Linked DNA regions of Nothobranchius furzeri. The protein of the gene in region 1 interacts with the protein of each later gene in a pairwise test. Links are inferred from orthologs where the notes say so. Each region holds a gene or a part of one and is shown in the gene's direction. Other genes may lie near its edges. The genes, in order: trip6, nedd9, mettl17, neu4, lysophosphatidic acid receptor 2 and sik3.

Region 1 (4,015 bases):
TACATTTGCTGCTGGGTGTGAATGTTAAATTTGCACAAAGAGAAGCATGTGTGAAAACCAAAGAGGACTAAATACATTCCCTTACAGCCGCAGAGGCCCAACACTCCTGACACGTCACAAGAAGCTCTGTGGGGTTTTGTCTGATCAGGCAAAAGTCACAGGGGTTATCACAGCCGGAGACCTCAGGGAGTAATTGCAGATGAGTTTTATGTAAAGCATTAGGTAAAATGAGCCAAATAAGGCTAAAGCATTACAATTCTTTCATTTTTCTACAACACTAACTGTTTTTACTCATTTGCCACAGCTTTAGTTGGTAATAAACAGTATATTTGACATGTGAAGTCTCTTGTTTGTGTGAGGCAAAGGATCATGCCAATTACTGCAGAGATATTTAGTTTATTTGATCAGACATTCAGGAGAGACTAGGAGTAGAGCCGCTGCTCCTCCATATCGAGAGGAGTCAGTTGAGGTGGTTTGGGCATCTTGTTAGGATGCCTGCTAGACGCCTGCCCAGGAAGGTGTTTCAGGCATGTCCTGCCGGCAGGAGGTCCCCTGGTCGACCCAGGACATGTTGGAGAAAGTACGCGTTGGAGAAAGTACATCTCCAAACTGGCCCAGGAATGCCTTGGGGTCCTACTGGAGGAGCAGGTGGAGGTGGCTGGGGAGAGGTCAGCCTGGAACTCCCTGGTTGGGATGCTGCCCTCGCTGCCCGGATCCGAATAGGCAGAAGAAGACGAGACTAGATATTTAGTACATTTATATATTTCTAAACTTTTAAAATAATTGCTCAATACGGCTAAAATATTTACATATTTTTCCAATTATAGTGGGACATTTAGATGTATTTTATTACTTATATATATATATATATATATATATATATATATATATATATATATATATATATATATATACATACACACACACATAGATAGATAGATAGATAGATAGATAGATAGATAGATAGATAGATAGATAGATAGATGTGTGTGTGTGTGTGTGTGTGTGTGTGTGTGTGTGTGCGTGCGTGCGTGCGTGCGTGCGTGCGTGTGTGTGTGTGTGTGTGTGTGCGTGCGTGCGTGTGTGTGTGTGTGTGTGAGAGAGAGAGAGAGAGAGAGAGAGAGAGAGAGAGAGAGAGAGAGAGAGAGAGAGAGAGAGAGAGAGAGATTTTTGTGAAAAAAGGTAAACTTTCCTTTATTCCAACCCCTTGCCTCCTCCCAACACCACCTCTCGTGCTCGTACACAGGCGCGCGCGCGCATCCAGAGCTACGTCACGCGCTGGGAATGCAGCGAGGAATTGGTGTCTTCGCTAAAGGCCTTCAGATCCGTGACAAAAGTAGGTTAACGACGCTTCAACGACAGCCAAGTCTTCAGGACAACTTTCACTAAGTCGTTAACGTTTAAATGGACTCGTAAGTCGTGTTTGTGCGGCTCGGTTCGGGCGGTAGGTGGCGGTTTGCCGCATCGTTTCCTTTTTGGTCGTGATGAAAGTTAGCCCGGTGTTGTGCCGAAATAAGCTCCCCGCCGTGATTAGCACCTCTCGGATTCATGACATGCTAGCAAACATGTAAACAAGGCTGCTATTAAAGTTAATTACGGGTAGTTTTATTTCATTATGGAGTGTTTGATCACTTAAGTGCGGTGATTTGCACATGCGTGACGCACAGACAGATTTAGACCAGACAGATTCTCTGGTTTGACATATCGTTGCTGCTGCGGAGCTAAAAACGGGACAGTATCTCAGACGGATGTGAGTTTATCTGCTTTTCTGTTTCAGCCTTTTTTTCCCCCCTTTGTTATTTGTGTGTAGATGAGACCTAAGGACAGGCGACAGTAAAAGCACTGTGAAGGTAGGAATGCTGATTTTTATTTTGAAAAAACTGACCAGAAGCACAGTGGTGTTTTTTATTTTTAGTTATGTAATTTATGTTTTTATATCTTTATCAGTAGTAACTGGCACACAAACAAACATTTAACTATCATTATCTTTTATTTCGAAAATAAGTGTTTTATGTTGCCTAATTGTAAAATTAAATAATGAATGTAAATATGAGATTTGCAACAGGAAATGACGACTTATTGTGTTTATTGGGTTATTGCGTTGCACAAACATTTGATATGCTTTATTTAGAATTTAAAAGTAGGAAGTTCTTTATATTTATTGTCTTTCATCCAATTCAGGACTTGGTACTGATGATTTACTCTATGCAGACAGTTTGAACAATAAGTAGAATTTGTTATGCATGCTCCATAGGAAACATTTGGCTCCAAACCTTGAGGGGGATGAAACCATGGAGATTAATTTCCCTGGGCCAGTCTGCCTTAGATTTGACTGTGTGCTCATCCGGATTCAGACAAACGCTTTAATCGGGACCACTGCGCAGGTGGTGATCACCCTTTCCTCAGTGTGAACTCCAGTTTAACAAGTCCTGAATCTGCTGGTTTTACATGGATCACATATCTTTAATTTGAACGTTAAAACCAGTAAAAAAAACATCATGTTAAGGGTTCAAATCTCCTGTCTGAAATGTATTTATATGAAGCTACATCGACATCTGATCTGACATTATAATCCTCTTAACCACGAGGAGGGTCACACCACCCACGTCCAATCGGTGTGAGTGGGTTATTCATTTCTGCACAGGGACTGCACTTGTGTCAGATTTCACATGGCTCGTTTGGGTGTCTGCAGTCTGTCTCTGGAGTTTGTGTCTGCCATTTATTCTTGTTCTGGAAAACACGTTTCATTAAGTCATTTTCAACATTTGTAATTTAGTAATTATAACTTCTGTTTTTGGTATTGGGGGGGGAAAACAAATGTTGTTCATCAAGATTTTTTAAATCGACAGGACAGAGTCTTTACACCCACACGGGTCAAATCAATGTCCTCCAGTAAAATAGTCCACAACAAGTCTTCTGTCCACAACCCAACACATTTTACTGCTGAAAAAATGTCCTTTAGGTTTGTCTCCTTCTCTCTGTAATCTCTATTAGCATCCTCAAATTAGCTGATCTTACCTGATCAACAGGGGAAGGGTCGTCGCCTCTGCTGTGGCAAAATTGATTGGCCAACAGGTCAGACGTGCCGGCCCCATTCCCATAATTAAGGTGCAGTTTATTGTTGATTTTTGTGTTCGCAGACACAAACATTGGAGCAAAGAAAAGAATGCTGTAGCTACTGTGAGGCATGAAGGGGGTTTGGGTCACCAGGTGTCTTTAAAGAGCAAGTCACCCCCAAATAAACTTTTTTTTGCTGATAAACTAAATAAACGAGTGTCTAATCGTGCTGCAGACACGTGTCGTCAATAATTTGGCACTTCAGTGCATCTTAGTTAAAATTTAAATATTCTGCCTAAAACTGGCAGTGTTGTGCCGTTGTCAGGTAAAAACTCTGCACTGCATTTTAATTTAAATCTGCCACTGCTATTGGCTAAGAGGTATGCTATGATGTAAACTGGTACATTATGATGTCACAATGCTGTCGTGAGCCTGAGTGTGTGTGTATTTGTTAGCAGCTCCACCCTCTCGGTCTGCCAGGCAACAGCATTTGTTGCATTTTCAAACATGAAGTGGGAGTGGAGTTAGACTCTGGTAGGGGTTGACTTGCTCTTTAATCTGTGGGGTTTAATGAAATCTGGAGACCTTTAAAGCTGTGTGTCCTCTGCCATTTTTGGTCTGTTTGGGGTTGATTTTCCACTCATTCGACAATCTTTGGTGCTAGGCTGTTTTGTGTCGTTTGCATGTGGACGGTGACAGTTATACAGGGCACGCTCGGCTTTAGGTGTTCTGGATCTGCCCAGTACTAGAACGCTTGTCTCAGGTCATGGGCCCTCCAGCAATATCAGTGAAACACCGGCACCATTCTGACACGTTTTCAAGGAAAACAAGAAAGATCCAGCAGTTCCAACTAAACATTTAAGATTCCCATGTCCTGGACCACTGACCATCTACACAAACCTTTTTCCTAAAGGTACCAACAACTTTATGTTTTTAATTTCTACGACTCCTTTCATTA
Region 2 (3,500 bases), on another chromosome or scaffold:
GTTGGTTCTGTTTGGCTAAAGGTCAAAGGTGACAGATCATCTGCTGCTGTGGCCCCAGACTCTGGACCTCTCTCCCTCTGAGCCTGAGATCAGTGGACTCAGTGGTCTCCTTTAAACTCACCTGTTCAGGCTTTTGTATGACCTCCATCACCTCCCTCACCTTGTTCTGCTCTCCCTACCTATTCCACCTTCCTCAGGATCCACTGATTTCCCTCTTTCCTGTTCACTCTCTCTCTCTTTCTTAACATTTTTTAAATCATAATTGTCTATTTTTGCTCATTTTAAATATATTTTTAAAATTTTCTAAATTATTTTTTATATTTTTACATTTATTGCTTTTGCGAAGCGCCTCGTGGTTTTTATCTCGAGAGGCGCTATAGAAACGATATTTTCTTCTTCTTCCGTTTGTGCGGATTCAGCCAGGATTCTGATCCAGGTCCGAGTCTCCAGAACCACCGAGCTGGATTTCAGCTTTGGCCTTCCCGGTCTGGTACCGTCGTTTGTCTGGGTCAGAGGTTCGGGTGCGTTCGTGGGCCGAGGAAACCGTTTCTATGCGTGTTTACTCTGATTGGGCGACGTGTTTGAATGTCGGCTGGTTCACAAACCCGCTGATCAGATCTGTTTGGTGATGAAGCCGAGTCGTAGAACTCCTCCTCGTCATCGCTGCTCTTCACCACTCGGTCGCTGACTGCAGCAAAACAAGACTTAATGTAAAAAAAAATCCAAAACATCAAATCTTGGTTGTGAAGGTTTAAATCTCCAGTTTTATTTGATGAAGCTGACGCTTAGATGTATGTCTGTACAGGAAGACGGACTGTTTGCCATCCTGCTACAGGAGCCCAGAAGGGACAAATAAAACTTTAGTTGTCGGTTTGAAGTAGAAGAATCCAGTCTGAGCCTGAGGACGTAGAAACGTTCTTCAACCTTTGAACGCGATAAAAACTCATCGGCGTGACGACGAGGACACGCCCAGTCGCCTCCTCCTGGCTTCAGACACGTCTGCTGTTACCGGTGACCTTTGCCCTCAGATATCTGATTCACTGGTTACAATGTTTGCGTGTTTGAAACCAGTGAGAACCTGTGAACAGCGTCAGCCCATTTCCTTGGATCTGTGTGGTCCCTGAACTCACCACGACGTCACACTCAGCTCAGCTCAGGGGGGAGGGGAGGTTTCAGGCTGAAGATGGTTTTAGATGGAGATGCACTGATTCTGCTTTTTAAAGCCGATACCGATTTCTGATTCTTGACCTGCTGCTCCAGATTTCCCTCTAAGACGTGAACGGTATGCAACTTTTAAAGTTTCTGATTGAACCTGATTGGATCCAGGCCTCCTCCTTACCTCAGTCATCCCTCGGCGTGGTTCTCCATCAGGAGGAGGAACAGAAGAAGAACGTTGGCTCTAAATAAAGCCTCCAGCAGACTGACGGGAAGCTGCCCGTGGTTTGGTTTGGGTGCTTCTGCGTTGATGCCAGCTGGGCGCAGATATTCTGGTCGTTGTTGTTTGGTGTCAGTGTGTTCAGGAGGACAGAAGGCATGTCTGCTCCCGCTGCTGGCTTAACCTCCTCAGCGAGGGTCTGGATGTTCTTCTGCATCAGGATAATTGTTTATCTTCGTCAAACACAGACCCTGCAGGCTTGTTCTCACGTGAGGGAGGACGGGTCAGAGCCGCGGCCTTTATGACCCTCAGAATAAAATACGATCAAATGAAGGAACCAAGTTCACAAAGGAGTTTCCAAAACATCTCCGAACTTTCGCCGGGGTTCTCGCGGGGCCTCACCCTCCGTCTGTGTTTACGCCGGTATCTCACAAGCCTGATTGTTCAGTCTGTCCCTGAACTCACCACGGTTATTTCCCATGACCAGATTCAGGTTTTATCATAAGGTGAGTTCTGTAAACTCCAGTTCCCTCAGATGAGTCAGAATGGGTGGGTTAGGAGGTCCAGGGCGGCCGGGCCCACCAACGGTACCAGAAACAAACCCACGGCTCTCCTGGAGCTGTAAAGGCTTTGTGTTCTGATCAGAGATTATAATCTGATTTAATCCTGCAGAGTTTCTTCTTCCTGTTTGTTTTCTTCTCATTCCGACCCAGACGGATCCAGAACCTGGAACTGCCAGGTTCTGGATCAGGCAACGTGCCCTTGAGCAAGTCACGCACATCTTAATTGCACCTAATGGGGCGTGCACGGCTGGAAGTGCACGGCCGCTCTACGAAGGTTGAAAACAAGCATTCGTGCCCGTTTCCTCCCTCCTGCTGATGCGTTTAACGAGCTAATCGGTCCTAAATGCCGCGGCGCTGGGGGCTCGTTACCCATGAGCCCTCACCAGACCTTCCCAAAACCCTGAGAAGATCCTGTCAAGTTCAGGTTCAAGCGCAGCTGAAGGTCGCGAGGTCGTGTGACTGCACGGCCTTTAGCAGCTGCTGGGGGCGGGGCTATGATGCCCTACGGGGTCATGATGGGAAATGTTCACCAGCTTTATTTGTAATCACCAGATTTAAACATGGATGAAAGCTGTGGTGTGTGTTTGAACCGTTCGGCGCGTCTAACAACAGTTTTGTTTCTGTGGCTGCAGAACCTGATGGCCAAGGCGTTGTACGACAACGTTCCAGAGTCTCCCGAGGAGCTGGCGTTCCGGAAGGGGGACATCCTAACCGTCATCGAGCAGAACACCGGCGGCCTGGAGGGCTGGTGGCTGTGCTCCCTGCGCGGCTGTCAGGGCATCGCTCCCGGGAACCGCCTGAAGCTGCTGATCGGACCCATGTTCGAGGCCCAGTCGTCGGGCGCCGCCGCCCAGGCTCCTGCTCCGAGCCTCCAGCAGCAGGGCCTCTACCAGGTCCCACCGAGGAGCACGCTCAGCGCTGAGAGCGCACCCAGCAAGGTGAGAGCTGCTCCCTTTATCGGCTAATCTGGCAGTTAGCTTTCTGGTGAATCCAGAGGAGGAATTACCCAGCAGCTTATGGGGTTTATTCTGATGAGATTAACGGAAAAGCTCGTCATTAGAAGCAGCTGCAGAGGTAGGATGGAACATGAGCAACCGGTCCAAGACCCTGGCCCGGTCCAGGTCCAGGTCTCCTAAATCTTCTGGTCTCCATCACTTTTCCAATGAGCAGCTGAACTTCTGCCTGCAGGAACGGGTCATGTTCAGACGGTCTAACCGGGCCGGTGAGACCCGGTTAGCTGCTGTTAGCTCGTCCTCATCCTGCTGCTGCACCGCTCAGCAGACCTTCAGGACAGCAAGCTCTCACCTCTTTCCAGCCTTCAGCTGAAGCTCAGGATTCCTGAAAGTTTAAGCTCTCCTCCTCCTCCTCCTCCTCCTGCTCCTCCTGCTCCTCCCCCCCTCCTCCTCTGGCAGGTCTGTGGGAACACGAGGAGAAAACTTTCCCGGTTATTCATCCGTGTAACTTCTCCAGACGTGATCGGATTAGAATTAGAACCTGAAGAGGTTTTTAGTTGAATCAATCCGGTTGTTGCCGGAATGATCTCAGGTGTGTTTCAGCACCTG
Region 3 (4,011 bases), on another chromosome or scaffold:
AGTCTTGGAGCGGATTTTTCTCTTGTATTTCGTCACAGGGTTAATCTGGACCATCTTCTTCAAATCCACTTCATATGCTGCCCCCGAGCCAAGAGTCAGAGTGACGGATGTCCTCCCTGAAGAAATGGCTGAATCAAGCAAGGCACAGGCTGTAGGCGGGTACGATTCCCACTGTCCTTCATCTCCTTTCCACTGCCACACTGTGATCACAAACAGAGCCAGAAAACAGTAAAACAGTTGTTTAAGTGCTGCATTATAGGAAAAACTGAAAATAATATTCCACAACAGACCTTTTATGAACTATAAAATACTGATATGACTTTATAAAACATGAATCAATTTCTAAACATCAAATTTCTGCCCTGAGTTGATTTCATTCATTAAATGTAATTATGTAGTTTCTTTTTACTACTTTTTAAACAAAGATGTGTTAATCAACTGGACTTTGCAGAGCCATTATATTGTTTTTCTACACTCAAACGAGGCTTTAGTTATTACTAAATTAATTAAATGTAGCAGTGAGTCACTTTATTCTAGTGATTTCCTCCAGAACTGCTTAATATTCGTGCTTTTCACCAGTTTTCGCGCCAAGTTTTGATTCAATTAGTTAAAACACAAATGTTGTCAAATATAAGTAATAGGTAGTGCAGGACATAGTTACCAAAGAATTGTGAAGATGAAAATAAAACCTAATTCTCTGTCCGGGCATGTTTAATGGCTACACTGCTTCCTTCCATGATGTGCTAAAAGCAAACACCAACCTGTTTTTGACGGGACTTCGTGGTTTTCTTGTGCGCGCTGGCTTTTATTTCTCGAACTTCTGGTTCGCCTCATGTTTGTGTATCAAAACAAGTTTATTTAACAGCAGGAAAAGCAGAAATCGAGAAGCAGTAGAAAACACGGCGGGAACTTTCTTTTCTTCGGATAGGCCTGTAGAGAGCAAAGCCTACCGAAGATGGTTTATTAAAAAGATGCCGCACTTCGTAACTAACTAGCGATGAATACAGAAGTTAGCAACGCAGCAATATACATCTGTTTACAACCAAATAATGATTTTTCTAATGATGTATATGTGGTAAAACAAACATTTTTAATCTAATCCTTCTTTTATGTGCTATTTGTTTCCGAATGTTAGCCAGTATCTGTAAACAAGATCAGAGAAAGAACTCTTCTTGTTTCCCTCGTGTAGGAACAAATCTTTAAGGCTCGATGGTTCCACTTTCAGTGGTGGCCGGAATTATTTTGTTGATGCAAATCAGTCGGTCGGTGTGCTTTACAATAGCGTGGATGAAAGTAAATGTTTACCAATATTTCAGTGCCGTTTAGACACCGAGAACATGGCATCAAGTAGCTATAAAGCCTGTGGTCTCAGTCAGAGAGTGGCTGTGGTGAAGATTTTGTTCAGGGTAAGTACTCCACCAGGTGTCTTTGAGTGCATCATTTTCACTGGAGGTCATTTATGTTTTGTGTACATTTATGGTCTGTAAATGACATGTCAGTTTGTAGAAAAGTAGCCCGGTTTGAATATTACATAAAATTATTTGTTTTCATATTTCTTTCCACAGTTTTGCAGTGACTAGTATTTTTATCCTAATGTCCTTATTTCCTTGTTTTCCTGTATTTTTCTTTTCTCTAGTACTGCTTAATATTTTGCTAAGACTGTGCTTTCTTCACACCTTACATAAATTTTTTGTATATTTTTGGAATTATTTATATGCAAACAAACATGTACCTCATACACATATTTTTATATGTCGATTATGTACTCTAACAAAGTCATATAATGCAGCCACTCTGCTTTTCATTTTCCTATTCTGACACTTTGTAATAATAATTTATTCCAGACTGTGAGTGCTGCTGCTAACCCACAGCCCAAAGCAGATTTCCTTAAAGGAGAACCCCACAGGAAACATCCTGGTATGACCAGCCTGAATACACTTCGGCTACCCCAGGAGCTCCAAGTTGCTGCACAGTCAGTCATTCAAAGTGAGATCAGCTGTCATCAACTCTAGCTGCCATAATAATAATAATAATAATAATAATAATAAATAAAACTGACAATTTTCCCACATGTTTGTTTTTTCTTTGTGTAGAAGCTCAGGTGACCCAGCTTACTGATCGCTGTCACAAACTCATAAACTACTTGTGGAGTCGAAAGCGGATGGTTGAGGACGTGACTCTGAGGCAGAAAGCATTGGGTCTGGAGAAAGAACTCTGGGAGAAAGCCATGCAGAAGATGGGAGGTGAGCGAGGGTGGGATCAAGTAACGATGTATCCATGTAGCAGCCCCTGGAGACAATAAATATGTTTCTCTTTGCAGATATTGACGAGGAAGCGCTGAGGAATCAGATCAGGAAAAGGGTTCTCTCAGAGCTCAGACAAACTACATATCACTGGAATTCCCTGAAGTAATCAGAACTTAGAACTCAGCTTAATCTGAGAGTTTTGGTTCGTAACCGGCCCTTTTTGTGTTTCAGGTATGATGAAGAGCTGGGGGTGGTGTACATGGCCTCGCGGCTTGCTGGAGGTTTTGCAGCAGTGACGAGAGCTCTAAATGAGGTAATGAAGTGATTTGTGGAAGACTTTAGCCCCTGTACGTGCCTCTGATCACTCTTAAATTAAAACTGATGTGTTTTTGTGTTCATTCAGATAAAGAAGAGGGATCCCTCATTTGCTCCTCAATCTCTCCTGGATTTTGGGTCAGGATTGGGAACAGTTGCCTGGTTAGTGTGCAAATTAAAACCCTTTTTGTCTAAATGAGGTTAAGTGTGTGTGTGTTTTTTTGCCTCTCAAAGGGCATCACACTTGCACTGGGGAGACTCTTTAAAAGAGATGGTGTGTGTGGACAGCTCTGGGCCTATGAGCGTTTTGGCTGAGCGACTTCTTAAAGGTTGATCTGTTATATTTGTCACATTAACAGAACATTTTTTAGAAGATGCTGAATGTGCTTTCTTCTGCGCAGGTGATGAGGAGGAGGCTGAACCTCTTTTCAAACACGTCTATTTTAGACGATTTCTTCCCGTCTCTCCTAAGGTAAAACATCCCAGGTTTTTGGTTTTGTTACAGAGGAAATGCTGATCTGGATTTACCACGAGAAAGCAATCTCAGATTAACTTAATTATGTTAAAATTGGTAATAAAAGCTACAAATCTGACTCCCCAGTTTCTCTCCTCAGGTTCAGTTTGACTTGGTGGCGGCTGCTTTCACTCTGTCAGAGCTTCCCAGCGTGAAGGAGCGAGAAGATGCTGTGATCACTCTGTGGAGAAAAACATCCTCCTACCTGGTTGGTTAGATCAATAATTCAACTTTATATTTCCTTTTACGCCTTCTGAGTTTTTTCCAGTGTTTATCCTTCACGTGTCGACATTGGCTTCTTGCCTTGTAATATTTGATTCTGTTAATCTTAGACCTGCTTTTATTACTCTTTTAAAATATTTTTTATGTAATTTAACATTTTAAAAATATTTTAATGGTTTTTTTTTGTTTTTGTATAATATGCTCTCAATATTGTTTGTTTTTTTATTTTTCTGAGGTCCAACAAATCGAGAATAGCTAGGTGAAATTAAAAATGCACTTGAAATTAAAACTCAGGTCATGAGAAATTAAATGTGGAAAAAAATTCAGCTTATTTTAAGCTGTGTTTCATTATTTTTCCACACTTTGTCCTTCAGGTTCTGGTGGAAAACGGAACCAAAGAGGGCCATCAGATGCTCATGGACGCCAGAGACACTTTACTAAAGGTACTCCAGTGAAACTGCCGCTTGGTTCTTTCCTGGCGTTTCTGTGTAAAAGTTTTGACAGTTTAATAAATTGCACAACAGAAACAAGAGCAGATTGTTCACGACCCCAGACCAGCAAGAGTGTTCGCCCCGGTAGGTTAAAGGAAAAGCATCAGTCTTGGTTTGCGGCGTTGCATTTTTTGCTGCAGCTTCTTTTTGTTTACTCCTCAGTGTCCCCATGAGATGATGTGTCCCAAACTGGCCCGAGAGCCCATCACACCCTGCAACTTCC
Region 4 (3,857 bases), on another chromosome or scaffold:
AACAGACAAAGGGTGGTTCATTTGTTGTGAGATGATGATCCCAAACACAAGGCCAAGGGAACAATGAATTGGTTTCAAAGGGAAAAAAAATCAAGTTGCTTGAATGGCCCAGTCAATCACCTGACCCAAATCCCATAGAAAATCAAAAGAGAACTGAAGATCAAAGTTCATAAAAGAGGCCAAAGGAACCTTTAAGATTTAAAGATCGTTTGTGTAGAAAAATGGGCCAGAATCACTCCTGTGCAATGCAGACAACTGGTCTCTCCATACAAGAGGCGTCTAGAAGCTGTAATCACCAAAACACACACACACACACAACCATCCATTGACTTCCATTTCATTGTGACTGTATAATGCCTATGCATAACCAGTGCTGCTGTATTCCTAACCCTAACCTCAACAAAAACTTCATTCCCACCATACCTCTAAAACCAACTGGTAAGCTCTCTAAAATAGCGAGGACCGCACTCATTCCCTCTGTTGGTTTAAAATCTCATGATGGTCCTCAGTACGTAGTAAGTACAAGAACACACACACAAGGCTCTGAGAGAAGAGACGTGCTTTACACATTAAAACGAAACGTACGTTGTGCTGAAAATGAAAATATGAAATCAGAGAGGCGGAGCATCACATCATTGTTCAGCACCCCCCACCAGACCTGCTTTTCTAACAATGGCTGCTCTCTGCTGATTCATTCAAAGCCTTGGATCTGAGGGGTGTTCATTTCTGGGTCAGTGCACAGGATGCCACACTGAATAGTGAACAGAGATTCTCACTACACTCACTGACTACACACATACATCATACTGTGAGCCTCTGAACCAGGAGCTCACACGCAACCGGTGTATCCTCGAAAAGCAGCAGCGGTTCTCTCAGAGATCTGAGACAGCAAGGGTTCTCCTGTTTGTGACACTTTGAAGTGTTGAATCCTCCCAGTGCTGTTAAACTGGGAAGTTACTGGTCAGAAAACAAATGAAAATATTCCAGTAAACGGGTGGAAGAGATCATTCTCTGACTGGTAAGATCATTTACTTTATTCAAACTCAAACTGAGCTCAGTGCAGCGACATTGGTTTGACTGCTGATCTGTTGATTTTTGTCACAGAGTGGTTGCTCAGATGGTGAAAGATTTAGACAAAAATCTTTGTGTAAAAAGCTAAAATACAGACAAGTTTATAGTGAAGTAGCATAGAACCTGATTTTCAAATTAATTTCTGCCATTTAGTATTTCTGATGTGTTTCATAACTTAAATTTTCATGATCACAATAGTTACTGCTCCTATTCATAAAGAAATGCCTTTACTGTTTTTTCTCTTTGTCTTTTGTCCTTAGTTGTGTTTGAGAAAACTTCCTGATTTTGTGTCACTGGATTCAGATTCAGTCCCAACAAAGAGGATGAGGTCGCCTTACTTCCCAGCGAGAACGGTGCTCTTCCACAAGGAGCCTAACGGAGTGACGTACCGAGTCCCAGCCCTGATCTACGTGTCCCGGTTCAGGACTTTTCTGGCTTTCTGTGAGGAGAGACTCAGCCCGTCTGACTCCCAGGCTCACCTGCTCATCATGAGGAAAGGAACTTTCTACAGGAACTACGTGGAGGTCACTGACCTGTCATTCTGGGTTTTTTTTATATCATACAAAAACATTTGTTTAGAAATCGTTTGAATTGATTACTGTTGGCTTTAACTGTAATTCTTTACATTTTTATTCTGTTTCAGTGGGAGGACATGCGAGTTCTGGGTACCGCCTTTCTGCCGGGTCACAGGTCCATGAACCCGTGTCCCGTGTACGATGAGTTCACAGGGACACTTTTACTGTTCTTCATCGCTGTTCTGGGTAACACCTCAGAGTCCTACCAGCTGGTGACGGGGAACAACGTGACCCGACTCTGCTTCATCTCCAGTACTGACGGGGGTGACTCCTGGAGTCCAGTCACCGACCTCACCAAGGCAGTCATCGGAGACACCATCAAAGGTCACCGAACCCAGACAAACCTTAACCCTAGATGAAAACTACACCGTCAAGTTGCACTTCAGGTTTATTTGATCAGATCCAATAACTTATAAAATATCCAAAATAATAAATAAAATAACATATCAGAAATAACAGCAGGTAGGTCAACAAAATGAATGCATTTTAAATTAAATAATGTTAAAGATCTGGTTCATCTGATAAGAATAACAGGAAGAAGCTTTCAGAATAATTGGATGACACTGATTGGTCCCCTTTATTTCCTCCCTCCTGACAGAATGGGCTACGTTTGCTCTGGGTCCGGGTCATGGCATCCAGCTAAAGTCGGGTCGTCTTCTGATTCCTGCCTACTCCTACCACATTGACTGTAAGGAGTGCTTCGGACAGCTTTGCCAGACCACTCCGCATTCATTCTGCTTCCACAGCGACACCCACGGGAGGAGCTGGCGTTTCGGCGAGGCTATTCCGGCTCCAGAGAGTGTGGAATGTCAGATGGTGTCCGTGGATGAAGAGGATGGCACCAACGTGCTGTACTGTAATGCACGCAGCCCTCTGGGATACAGGGTGCAGGCCCTGAGTCTGGATGATGGAGCTGTGTTTCAGGAGGGGCAGCTAGTGCATCGGCTGGTGGAGCCTAGAAACGGTTGTCATGGTAGCATTGTTGGATTTCCTGCTCCTTTGCATCTACAGCAAACTCTACAGCATCCCACAGGTCACTCCAGGCACTGGACGTCATTCCTGGACTCCAACAAAACGACAGAATCATCTTCAAACATCACACCTCATCATGATGCTCATCCAGACTTCCTGACCCCTACATGGGTGGTATATTCCCACCCAACTTGGGCCACAGCACGTAAGGATCTAGGTGTGTTCCTCAGCCTGTTTCCTCGTGATCCAGACAGCTGGCGGGGCCCCTGGGTGATCTACGAGGGTCCCAGCGCATACTCAGACCTGACCTACCTGGAGCTGTCCCCCTCGCCTGGGGCACCGCCGGCTGTGGCCTTCGCCTGCCTCTTCGAGTGTGGCTCTAAAACCGCCTACGATGAAATCTGCTTTAGTATCTTCACCCTGCATGAGTTGATTGATAATTTGCCCGGGGCTGTGCAGCATTTGGGTGAGACGGGATGCAAACGCGAGACCCCAGGAACAACAGTCCAATGGGAACCTCGAGTGAAGAGGAGGAGGAGAAAGCTCATGAAGACGTGCTCTATCTCTTGAAGAGTTAAATGTTTATTCTCTTTTTTTTAATCACCAAGCTGGGTTTGCTTGTCAACTATATTAAGTTCTGTAGAACTTCCTGTTAAATATAGGTAGGAAAGATGTTTAATGTAAGTTTTGTAGTTTTTTTTAAATAGATTTTAATTGTAAAGATTTAATTTTGACATTTCATGTGTGGAGTTTTTATTTCTTCTTGTGAAAATGCTCAGAGAATTAATTTAAATAAGAATACAAATCATTGCTGGTTTGCAAGAGGAACTAATTCAGAGGTGTCTCTAATCAACACACCTGATTTTAATCAGTTGGTGCTTAACAAGCTTCATCTGATGACCTAGCCTAGTGAACCAGACCAAATTCTTGCTTTGCAAAGTTTGCAAGTAATACATTTATTTAGTCTGGCTTGCCAGGCTACTGATGACCTGCTGAACAGGTAAATTAATTGGTGAATCAGGTGTGTTGGAGCAGGAAAAAAACTTTTTTGAAGCAGGACAGTGGTAGCCTGGCAAGCCAGACTAAATAAAGGTATTATTTAGTCTGGCCACGCTCCATTGACGGCTCTCGGTTGTGGGGCGGGTTCTACCGTTGTCTTTCAAATGATCTCCACATTCCACTGGACAATGAATATGACATACTCTTGTTTCACTCTGTTGCATCATCCCACCCACCAGG
Region 5 (4,284 bases), on another chromosome or scaffold:
CTCCTAGTGTAATCAGCTCAACCCGGCTACTGGACTGTTACACACAAGATATGTAGGCTTAATACGAGACACGCTCTTCTTGTTGCTGTCAAGCAAGAAAAAAAAGTATGTGTCTGGAATTCGCCCTCTCATTGACGCGATGACCTGGGCTGGAGATCGTGTCACCAACCTTTGAGTTATAGCTGATCCAGACGGGGTTTTATTGCTGAAGGCTGAGGTTTATCTGCTACCAAGCTGTGAAGTCGTGTTTAGATTTGAATGTGTGAATGCCTTCACTCACCGTGTCGCTTTAACAAGAAATGTCATTGTTGTCGTTTTTGACAACTTTTCCATGAATGCTTTTAATTAAAAGGCAACAGTGAGGGTGGAGGTGGACTGGAATACCATCTTTGTTCTGGTTTTGCCGGATCCACAATAGATCTCCATGGTTCCTGCAGGAAGTCAGCAGCCCCCGCGCCCCCCAATGAATTTTCAAAGGCTTGATAGGTCTTTGCTGATAAGCCCTCCTTCAGGCCTGACTCCAGGGCCTTATACTTTGTATCAATACAAGATAACCTTGTTCTTTGTTATTTTTTCTTCTTCTCTTTTATCTTATTTGATTAAATCTCTATCTTCTCACCCAGGACCACTATTATTTACATGATATCAGCAAGAGCTGTTTGCCCCTCCGAGCCCCGACACCCAGGAACTCAAACCCCTCCTTCATGGTTATTCATGAAGATGTTTTATATAGCGCCTCCTCAAGATAAAAATCACAAGGCATTTCAGAAGAACAAAATAAAAATAACAATAATATTTAAAAAATATTAAATACGGAGAAGTAAAAATTGTGATTAAAATGGGAGAAAAGGGAAAGAGAAAAAGAATAAGAATGAGGTAATCAGTGGATCATAAAGGATCATGAATAAATACTGAGTAGCTGAGGAGATTTAAAATCCTTCTGCGTAAAGTAAAAGTCACGAGAACGGAGCTGGTGGACGTCACAGTGTAAAAAGTTGGAACCCACTGGTCAGACCAAACCACCTGGTTGTAAAAACAAAAGCTCTGGATATCCCTGGGTAGGTTTATCTTATTTATAACAATTAACAGTTAAAAATGAGCTAAACTGGGGAAAAAATGCAAATAAATGAATGGAAATGATATCAAAAGGGTCAGAATTCTTATTCTAACAAAGGCCTTGAAATGTTGCATGATGAGATTACACAAATGGCTGACTCACTACTTCTGAACTACTTCTTCCTCACTGGGGTCATGAGGGGCTGGTGCCCAGCTCCAGCACTCACCAGGCCAGATGTGAGGGACACTCTGGACACTGGCCTGTGGAGGAGGAAACTGGATCATCTGCAGAAAAACATGCAGAACGGCTGCAGCTGGAACCTGCAACCTACTCACTGCAAGGCAAAGTGCCCCCACTCAGCCCATGACACAAGCATTTTAACAAACATTTCTCTGATTTTTCACATTAATGAAAAAGCAATGGGTGACATTCAATTCAATTCAATTCAATTCAATTCAAAAATACTTTATTAATCCCAGAGGGAAATTGAGTAGACACATGTGCATCTTTAGGCCTCTGGGTGAAATGGTTTCCCACCTTTGTACTGGGATCCCTCCTTGGCTGCCCTGGCTCTGATCATCCACCTCCCTGCTGTGATCATCGGCCTTTTCTGGTTGAAGCCATCCTTTCCTAGCGAGGCTCTGATTGGCTGGTCCTTCTTCCCATCAGCCGACAGGGGGCGACAGGAGGCGGCTCCACAGACGTGAAGCGCTCCAGCCTAGCTCCCTTGTGGGACAGAGCTGCGCACTGTGCAGATCAGGAGCTCCGCACCGCGGCTGCCGCACCCTTCCCTCAGCGGAACGCTGCGCGCAGGTAACGATCTGCTCAAATTACCGGAAGCGAGATTCCGTTCAGGTGACGGAGGCCGAAACCCACCGCGCTAAAGTTTCAGGGACGTGAAAACTCCCCCCGGGGCAGAGCTTTGATGTGATCCATCCACCTCCTCCACCTTGGGACAAACGCTCGTTTCTTTAAAGTGTTTTATTTTTATTTCTTTCGTCTTTCAAAACTCGATGTTTGTGGAGCGCAAGTGACCCGAGGAGGACTCGACCAAGGACGAGTAAGTAGATCTGTTTTTTCTCTTTGTGAAACAATCAGGTGGAAAACCCGGAATTAAGAAACTTTTCTTTTTAAACTGCAGTTTCATCCCTAAATCCGTCCATGCCCCTTCTGTGTAATGCCCTCATGCTTCCAGACAACTTTACTCTAGTTTCAGCAGAAGAATGTGTTATCTCCTGCAGATAAGACTTTTGTATCGTCCCTTTCCCGGATGCCCCTGTTGCACATTCTCCAATAAAACAACTCACTTTAATAGGATTTTCTTTAGTGGTTCTGTTTTGTAGCAAACAGGTTTAACAGGTTAAATCCACCTTATGATAATGCAATCAGAACAATCCTGCAATAAATTGAAGGATCAATGTTCAGGCGTTGTTGACACACTGCACCTTTTTTACCATCTGTAAATACTACTGCACTGATCATTTTTTGCATGCACACCTGAAAACAAATGTTAGTTATAGTAGAAAAACCAGTGCATTGCTAGTAATATAGATTTTTTTTCAAAATAACAAGCTTGACTGAAACTCACTTGTTGGAAATGAATGAGGAAACTCAGCAAATTATCTAACTTGAGCCAAACTGTGTTTGTTTTTCATAGTTTTGCTCACCCTAAGGGTGTAGGGAATGGATTTATATTCTGAGAACAAGATGCAAATTTCTGTCATTACCATCACACGGTCACCTTGGTCTTTAGTTTTTATTTATTATCAACATGGAACATTTCTAAAACATCTCAGGAAATGTGAAACTCCCCACACTTTCATTTTAAACGGCTTCCTCACCCCCAAAAAGATGAATGAAAAACTCAACTATACCTATTTCTGTTAAATACCTTTAAACATCTTCCCTTATGGCCTGTTGTCAGTCACACATTCTTGCTTTTGGTTTCGATGACCACAGAAGATGATGGAGGGATGAAATTTGTTTGACTGAACGAAAGAAAAGGGCATTTATACAAATCAGAATGTTCCACCATGTGCATGTCACAGGAAAAGCACACCTACATATGACTCCTGTGGTTTGATCAAAGAACTAATCATAATGGGTTGGAAATGTGTTTTCCCCCACCGTCGTGTTAATTGTAACCTGTGTGCTTTTCTTGCCGTTAAACCGCCAAGACTTTTTTTCAGAGGCGAAAGGAGGGAGAAGAGACCTGGGTGTGGCTTTTCTTGTAATGACTGGTTTGCATTCAAACCAGTGTTTACAGATTCAGCTGGGTTTTTTCACATACAAATAACAGACAAGTTACACGTGAAAACACACAATCCTGCTAACATTGTCCAACTAGAGCTGCAAAAAGTCCATAGGGACCTACACACTTGCAGCTTTTGCACATAAAACAAAAAAATTCAACTTTTATGGAAAACAAATCACAAGAAAATACTATGCTGCTGTTTTATTCTGACATAAGTTATCATTTTATATTTATAGATAAAAAATGGGAATGCTTAAATTGCTACATTAGTGCTAGGAATGGGGGAGGGGAGGCAGACGAGGTGTTCTTGGTTAGGAAGGAGGTGGGGAGAAGGGATATTTCCTTTGCAACTACCCTTTGTCCTTTTCCCCCCACAAAGCTCCTTAGGCATGAATGATAACGGGCTAATTAGTGAGTTTAATAGGGTTTGTTAGGTGAGTGTGAGGCTGGCATCAAGCTGTGCTGAAATTTGAGTTGGTTGTTTACATACCACGTCAGGGGGTCCCATTTGCTAGGAGGGTTTTGTTCTTGTCACATGTTCTTTCTGAGGGTTAAAAGTCCATCTCTAAATAAATCCATTTAGGGGGATTCTGCGCAACTTGTGCATTACACGCAACTCTGAGACAAATGTTTACAGATGTTCCAGATGGCTGACTGTTGGCTTTGTGTTTAAGGAAATGCAGCCATTTTTGTCGTTTAATTCTTTGGAGGAAGAACGAGGATATTTCTCATCAAGACAGCTTTAGGTTTGCATTATTTTCCTTGGTTTAGATGGGGCATGTGGGGAAATTATTGAGATCATGAAACAAGCTAGCCTGGTAAACCATAACCTGGCCAAAACCCATTGAAACCATCCAGTCGTACTGCACAATCTATGGTTGTCTTCCAAACTGTCACTGTACACAATTGGACAGCACAAGGACCAATCAGAGCAATGAATAATGTCACGTGTTCATTGCTGCAGAAATCAGTC
Region 6 (3,500 bases), on another chromosome or scaffold:
TTCAGCACCAGAACAATGAAGCAAAGAAACAGATTCCTGAGTTTATGTTAGTAATTTTATTTATTAGGTGCATCTGACTTGGTGTATTTTTCTCTTAAATGAGATCAAATCAGTGCTTCTATGGGTTTTCTCCTCTCTGCACTAAAATTTTTTTACCTTATTTAGAGACGTGTCATAATTTCTCTCCAATGCCCCCCCCCCCCCCCCCCCCCCCCCCCGCCACAGCTGGAAAAATTCCTAGGGGAAACACTGAAGATTATTTCATCTAGTAGGACCTGTGGTTAGCTGGCTCGTGTAAAACATGTCATGTCTTGAAAGAAATGGAATCGGGAATCGATAGGAACCTGATTCGAAACGAGGAATCGGAATCTGAATCGTTGAAAATCAAACGATGCCCCACCCTAATCACGAGCCATCACACACAGACAGATCCTGGACATGAGCTTCAAATGTCCTGTTGCTCTTGTCAATCCGCCCCTGGCGCTGTTCAGTGGTCTAGTCTGGTCCAGTATGTCCGGAGAAGCACGCAATCCAAGATGCTTGTGTGAAGTTTCCACAATCGGTGTTGATTTGGGGAGCCATGTCATCTGCTGGTGTTGGTCCACTAATATAAACCCGCTAACTATAATACATATGTATCATTACTCTACTTGTAAAACTGATTTAGCTAACCACTAAAAAAGGACCAAAACAAAGCCGATATTAATGACGATAAAAGTTTATACTCAGTCTTACCTTTGCTGTTTTTTGGTCATAATCTGTGTTAAAGTAAAAAAAAAAAAATCCACTTGTTTGTTAAATTCTACGACCCAGCGGCCAAACAGAGCTGATAAATTATTATTTTGGGCCGTTTTGCCTGCTGGAGAACCTTTTCTACTCTCCATCATATCCTGGTTAACAGCAATTCTCCTGTGATCGGTTTGCAAAAGCCAGCCGAAAACAACTCACCAGTGATTCTGTTGGCTCAGCGATTCCAATCAGGGCTGGAACCGCCAAAATAGTCCAATGAGACCCTGAAAAGATGACCTGCATAACAGCGCTTCAGCCAATGCCTGTGAGGCACAGCCTCAAAACGTTAAAAATCTTTGTCAGTGAATGGCTTTATCATGTTAACAAAGATGGCTGTGCTCACCTGTTTGTTGTTTTAACAAAATATTAGGCTGGCAGGCCATCCTACATGTGGGCCCTTCCACTCTAGGGCCAGCTCCACGTCGCGCAGTCAGCCCCAGCCTGCCCCACCGTGGCCGGGTTCATTACAGGCATCCTTAGGAATGCAGATGTGACTGAGAACATTGGCGGTCCCCAAAATTGGTGTTAAAATAGGCGCAACATTATCAGTGATAATGGGATGGAACCCTGAGGAACACCCCAGGGTAGAGGCAATGATAGCGACAAGTAGTTCTCCATGCAAACTGTAAAGCTTCGGTTCCCGAGATACGGTCTGAACCAGTCCCCGTTATCCCCTGGTTCCAATCGAGACTCGATGCCCAACCCTTGGTAAAACCCGAGATCTGTTTAGGATGAGGGGTAGTGCTGTGAGGATAGCTCGGTTACTTTCACAACCCCTTTAACGCATGTTTGTGGAGGTGGGGGGTTATCAGGTGTTACTCATCAGAATATCTTACCTCCATGTGACCTTGTACCTGCCTCCACAGGACGGAGATGCAGGAGGAGCTCCAAAACCTTCCACCCGGTTTCCCTCGTGGTGTAATTCCCCAGACCCCCTTCCCCCAACTTGCCCCCACTATGGGTCAAATGCATACCCTCATGCCCACACAGAGCCTTCAGCCAACACAGCAGCTGGAGTACAAGGTACAGCTCGTTGCGTCGGACTGGATGTGTTTGATTTGTGTTCGTGCTGATTTCTGAATTCCTGTGGCTGCTAACGCTGCAGGAGCAATCGCTGCTGCAGCCTCCCACTCTACAGCTTCTGAATGGCATGGGCCCGTTGGGCCGAAGAGCTTCAGATGGCGGGGCCAACATCCAGCTACACGCTCAACTCCTGAAGAGGCCCAGGGGGCCATCACCCCTGGTGGCCAGCCCGGTGAGGGACTGGGTGTATATTCTTTGTGGCGTGTGCCAAACACACCTTAACCAGTAAACTCTGCCTCTCTCAGCATCCTATCCCTGCAGTAGCTCCAGTGGATGAGGAGGGTTCAGATGGAGAGCCAGACCAGGAGGCAGTGCAGAGGTAACCATGGTGACGGTTTGTGGTGGCTGGGTTTCCGCAACGAAGGTGCTGTCTGAACAGGAAGCTGCTGAGACCCCAAAGCCCCTGACTGTAGAGTTGGGTTAGCAGTGCTCCGCCAGGGACTCCAGAAGCTCAGATTTCAGGCTCATGTTAATATAAATGATTTACAGACATGTAAATGAAAGAATTGGATGAAATTCAAAGAACATCATTGGGGAAAGCTTGTGACGGAGTCCAGGTCTGGGCCTTAAGGCGGTCCTCTTCAGACGGCACGTTCTTTAGCCTTCGCCGGTGTCCTGGGTTGCTGGGAGTGAGTGCCTCTCGGCTGCTCTGCTTTTCCCCCTTGAGAGGTGGCCACAGTGCTGTGGTGCTTATCCCATCTTTTCTCCTTTCTCCATCGCAAGTGCCTTCTGCCACATTCCCAACAGAGTTTGCCATCAGGCTCTGGCCTCGAGCTGGTTTATCTCTCATTTCAGCAAGTGCCAGATTCCTCTGTGGACTTGTTCACTCTTTCTCACACAGCTTTGCTAACTCTGAAGCTTGCCAAACCGGTGGCTACACAAACAGCGACTGACCCAACCCTTAAGCTGGACGCTGGGCAGTTGTTGGTTCACAAATGCTGTAACCTCCATCTGTGGTGTCACTTTATTTGATGTTTTCTGATTGGCTACGATGATATGAGTAACGGCACGCATTGGCAAAGGTGGAAAGGGGTGGTCCTTCCCCCATCTCCATTAGCCAATGAGGACAGAGAGCTGACCAGCGCTGCTTCCTGTCTCCCATTCTCACCCCGTCCTACCCCCCTTCCAACGGCCCAGGTACCTGGCGAACCGCTCCAAGCGCCACACGACGCACGTGCTCACAAGCACCTCACATGGCGAGCCCTCGACAGAGTCACAGCGGCCTCAGGGCCCCCGCCAGCGGTGCGGCTGGGCCCCTGACATTCACACCCGGTGAGGGGACTCTCCTGCTCTGAGCTGTACACACACACACCTCAGGGGTGACTATAAAGCTCTCTCTCACTCACTCACACACACACACACACACACACACACACACACACACACAGCGGATGAGCCAGGGTGTAGCAGAAATAAAGCCAGCCTCTGCATAAATAGGTCATTTTACTCCATAGAGGAGGAACTGGCACCTAAACAGGATGTGTGTCAGAACAAACGTTCAGCTGAACGACGTGGTGGTACACGCTCGTGTCAGCTGCAGCTGTTAGACCACGGTCTGAAACACCTGTGTGCGGACGAGGACTGGGGCCACTGGGAGATCTTTTCCTTCCAGTGGCCCCAGTCCTCTT

The links.
Region 2: the proteins of trip6 (region 1) and nedd9 interact in binary tests that used the Homo sapiens proteins (3 or more experiments, as listed by UniProt). The link is inferred for Nothobranchius furzeri from reciprocal best matches to the Homo sapiens genes TRIP6 and NEDD9.
Region 3: the proteins of trip6 (region 1) and mettl17 interact in binary tests that used the Homo sapiens proteins (3 or more experiments, as listed by UniProt). The link is inferred for Nothobranchius furzeri from reciprocal best matches to the Homo sapiens genes TRIP6 and METTL17.
Region 4: the proteins of trip6 (region 1) and neu4 interact in binary tests that used the Homo sapiens proteins (3 or more experiments, as listed by UniProt). The two-hybrid records come from large-scale screens. The link is inferred for Nothobranchius furzeri from reciprocal best matches to the Homo sapiens genes TRIP6 and NEU4.
Region 5: the proteins of trip6 (region 1) and lysophosphatidic acid receptor 2 interact in a two-hybrid assay, tested with the Homo sapiens proteins (2 studies listed by BioGRID). The link is inferred for Nothobranchius furzeri from reciprocal best matches to the Homo sapiens genes TRIP6 and LPAR2.
Region 6: the proteins of trip6 (region 1) and sik3 interact in binary tests that used the Homo sapiens proteins (3 or more experiments, as listed by UniProt). The two-hybrid records come from large-scale screens. The link is inferred for Nothobranchius furzeri from reciprocal best matches to the Homo sapiens genes TRIP6 and SIK3.

What each region holds. Positions count from the first base shown.
Region 1 is NC_091742.1:54,147,319-54,151,333, reverse strand, and holds the start of trip6 (thyroid receptor-interacting protein 6), read left to right. Parts: upstream 1-1,215; 5' UTR 1,216-1,336; intron 1,337-1,338; exon of another isoform or gene 1,339-1,444; intron 1,445-1,810; 5' UTR 1,811-1,850; intron 1,851-4,015. UniProt on the Homo sapiens protein: Relays signals from the cell surface to the nucleus to weaken adherens junction and promote actin cytoskeleton reorganization and cell invasiveness. Involved in lysophosphatidic acid-induced cell adhesion and migration.
Region 2 is NC_091759.1:25,485,569-25,489,068, forward strand, and holds part of nedd9 (enhancer of filamentation 1), read left to right. Parts: exon of another isoform or gene 1-2,563; intron 2,564-2,570; coding exon 2,571-2,876; intron 2,877-3,500. UniProt on the Homo sapiens protein: Scaffolding protein which plays a central coordinating role for tyrosine-kinase-based signaling related to cell adhesion. As a focal adhesion protein, plays a role in embryonic fibroblast migration.
Region 3 is NC_091751.1:41,153,267-41,157,277, reverse strand, and holds the start of mettl17 (ribosome assembly protein METTL17, mitochondrial), read left to right. Parts: upstream 1-1,211; 5' UTR 1,212-1,337; coding exon 1,338-1,406; intron 1,407-1,844; coding exon 1,845-1,986; intron 1,987-2,093; coding exon 2,094-2,243; intron 2,244-2,320; coding exon 2,321-2,408; intron 2,409-2,477; coding exon 2,478-2,559; intron 2,560-2,649; coding exon 2,650-2,723; intron 2,724-2,795; coding exon 2,796-2,890; intron 2,891-2,962; coding exon 2,963-3,033; intron 3,034-3,175; coding exon 3,176-3,283; intron 3,284-3,671; coding exon 3,672-3,740; intron 3,741-3,821; coding exon 3,822-3,872; intron 3,873-3,950; coding exon 3,951-4,011. Other genes in the region: parp2 (poly [ADP-ribose] polymerase 2), read right to left, coding at 1-200, 762-834. UniProt on the Homo sapiens protein: Mitochondrial ribosome (mitoribosome) assembly factor. Binds at the interface of the head and body domains of the mitochondrial small ribosomal subunit (mt-SSU), occluding the mRNA channel and preventing compaction of the head domain towards the body.
Region 4 is NC_091753.1:42,144,688-42,148,544, reverse strand, and holds neu4 (sialidase-4), read left to right. Parts: upstream 1-1,179; 5' UTR 1,180-1,394; coding exon 1,395-1,595; intron 1,596-1,714; coding exon 1,715-1,970; intron 1,971-2,244; coding exon 2,245-3,188; 3' UTR 3,189-3,357; downstream 3,358-3,857. UniProt on the Homo sapiens protein: Exo-alpha-sialidase that catalyzes the hydrolytic cleavage of the terminal sialic acid (N-acetylneuraminic acid, Neu5Ac) of a glycan moiety in the catabolism of glycolipids, glycoproteins and oligosacharides.
Region 5 is NC_091744.1:9,323,894-9,328,177, reverse strand, and holds the start of lysophosphatidic acid receptor 2, read left to right. Parts: upstream 1-1,484; 5' UTR 1,485-2,117; intron 2,118-4,284. UniProt on the Homo sapiens protein: Receptor for lysophosphatidic acid (LPA), a mediator of diverse cellular activities. Seems to be coupled to the G(i)/G(o), G(12)/G(13), and G(q) families of heteromeric G proteins. Plays a key role in phospholipase C-beta (PLC-beta) signaling pathway.
Region 6 is NC_091753.1:15,843,532-15,847,031, reverse strand, and holds part of sik3 (serine/threonine-protein kinase SIK3 homolog), read left to right. Parts: intron 1-1,655; coding exon 1,656-1,812; intron 1,813-1,894; coding exon 1,895-2,044; intron 2,045-2,117; coding exon 2,118-2,191; intron 2,192-3,009; coding exon 3,010-3,144; intron 3,145-3,500. UniProt on the Homo sapiens protein: Positive regulator of mTOR signaling that functions by triggering the degradation of DEPTOR, an mTOR inhibitor. Involved in the dynamic regulation of mTOR signaling in chondrocyte differentiation during skeletogenesis.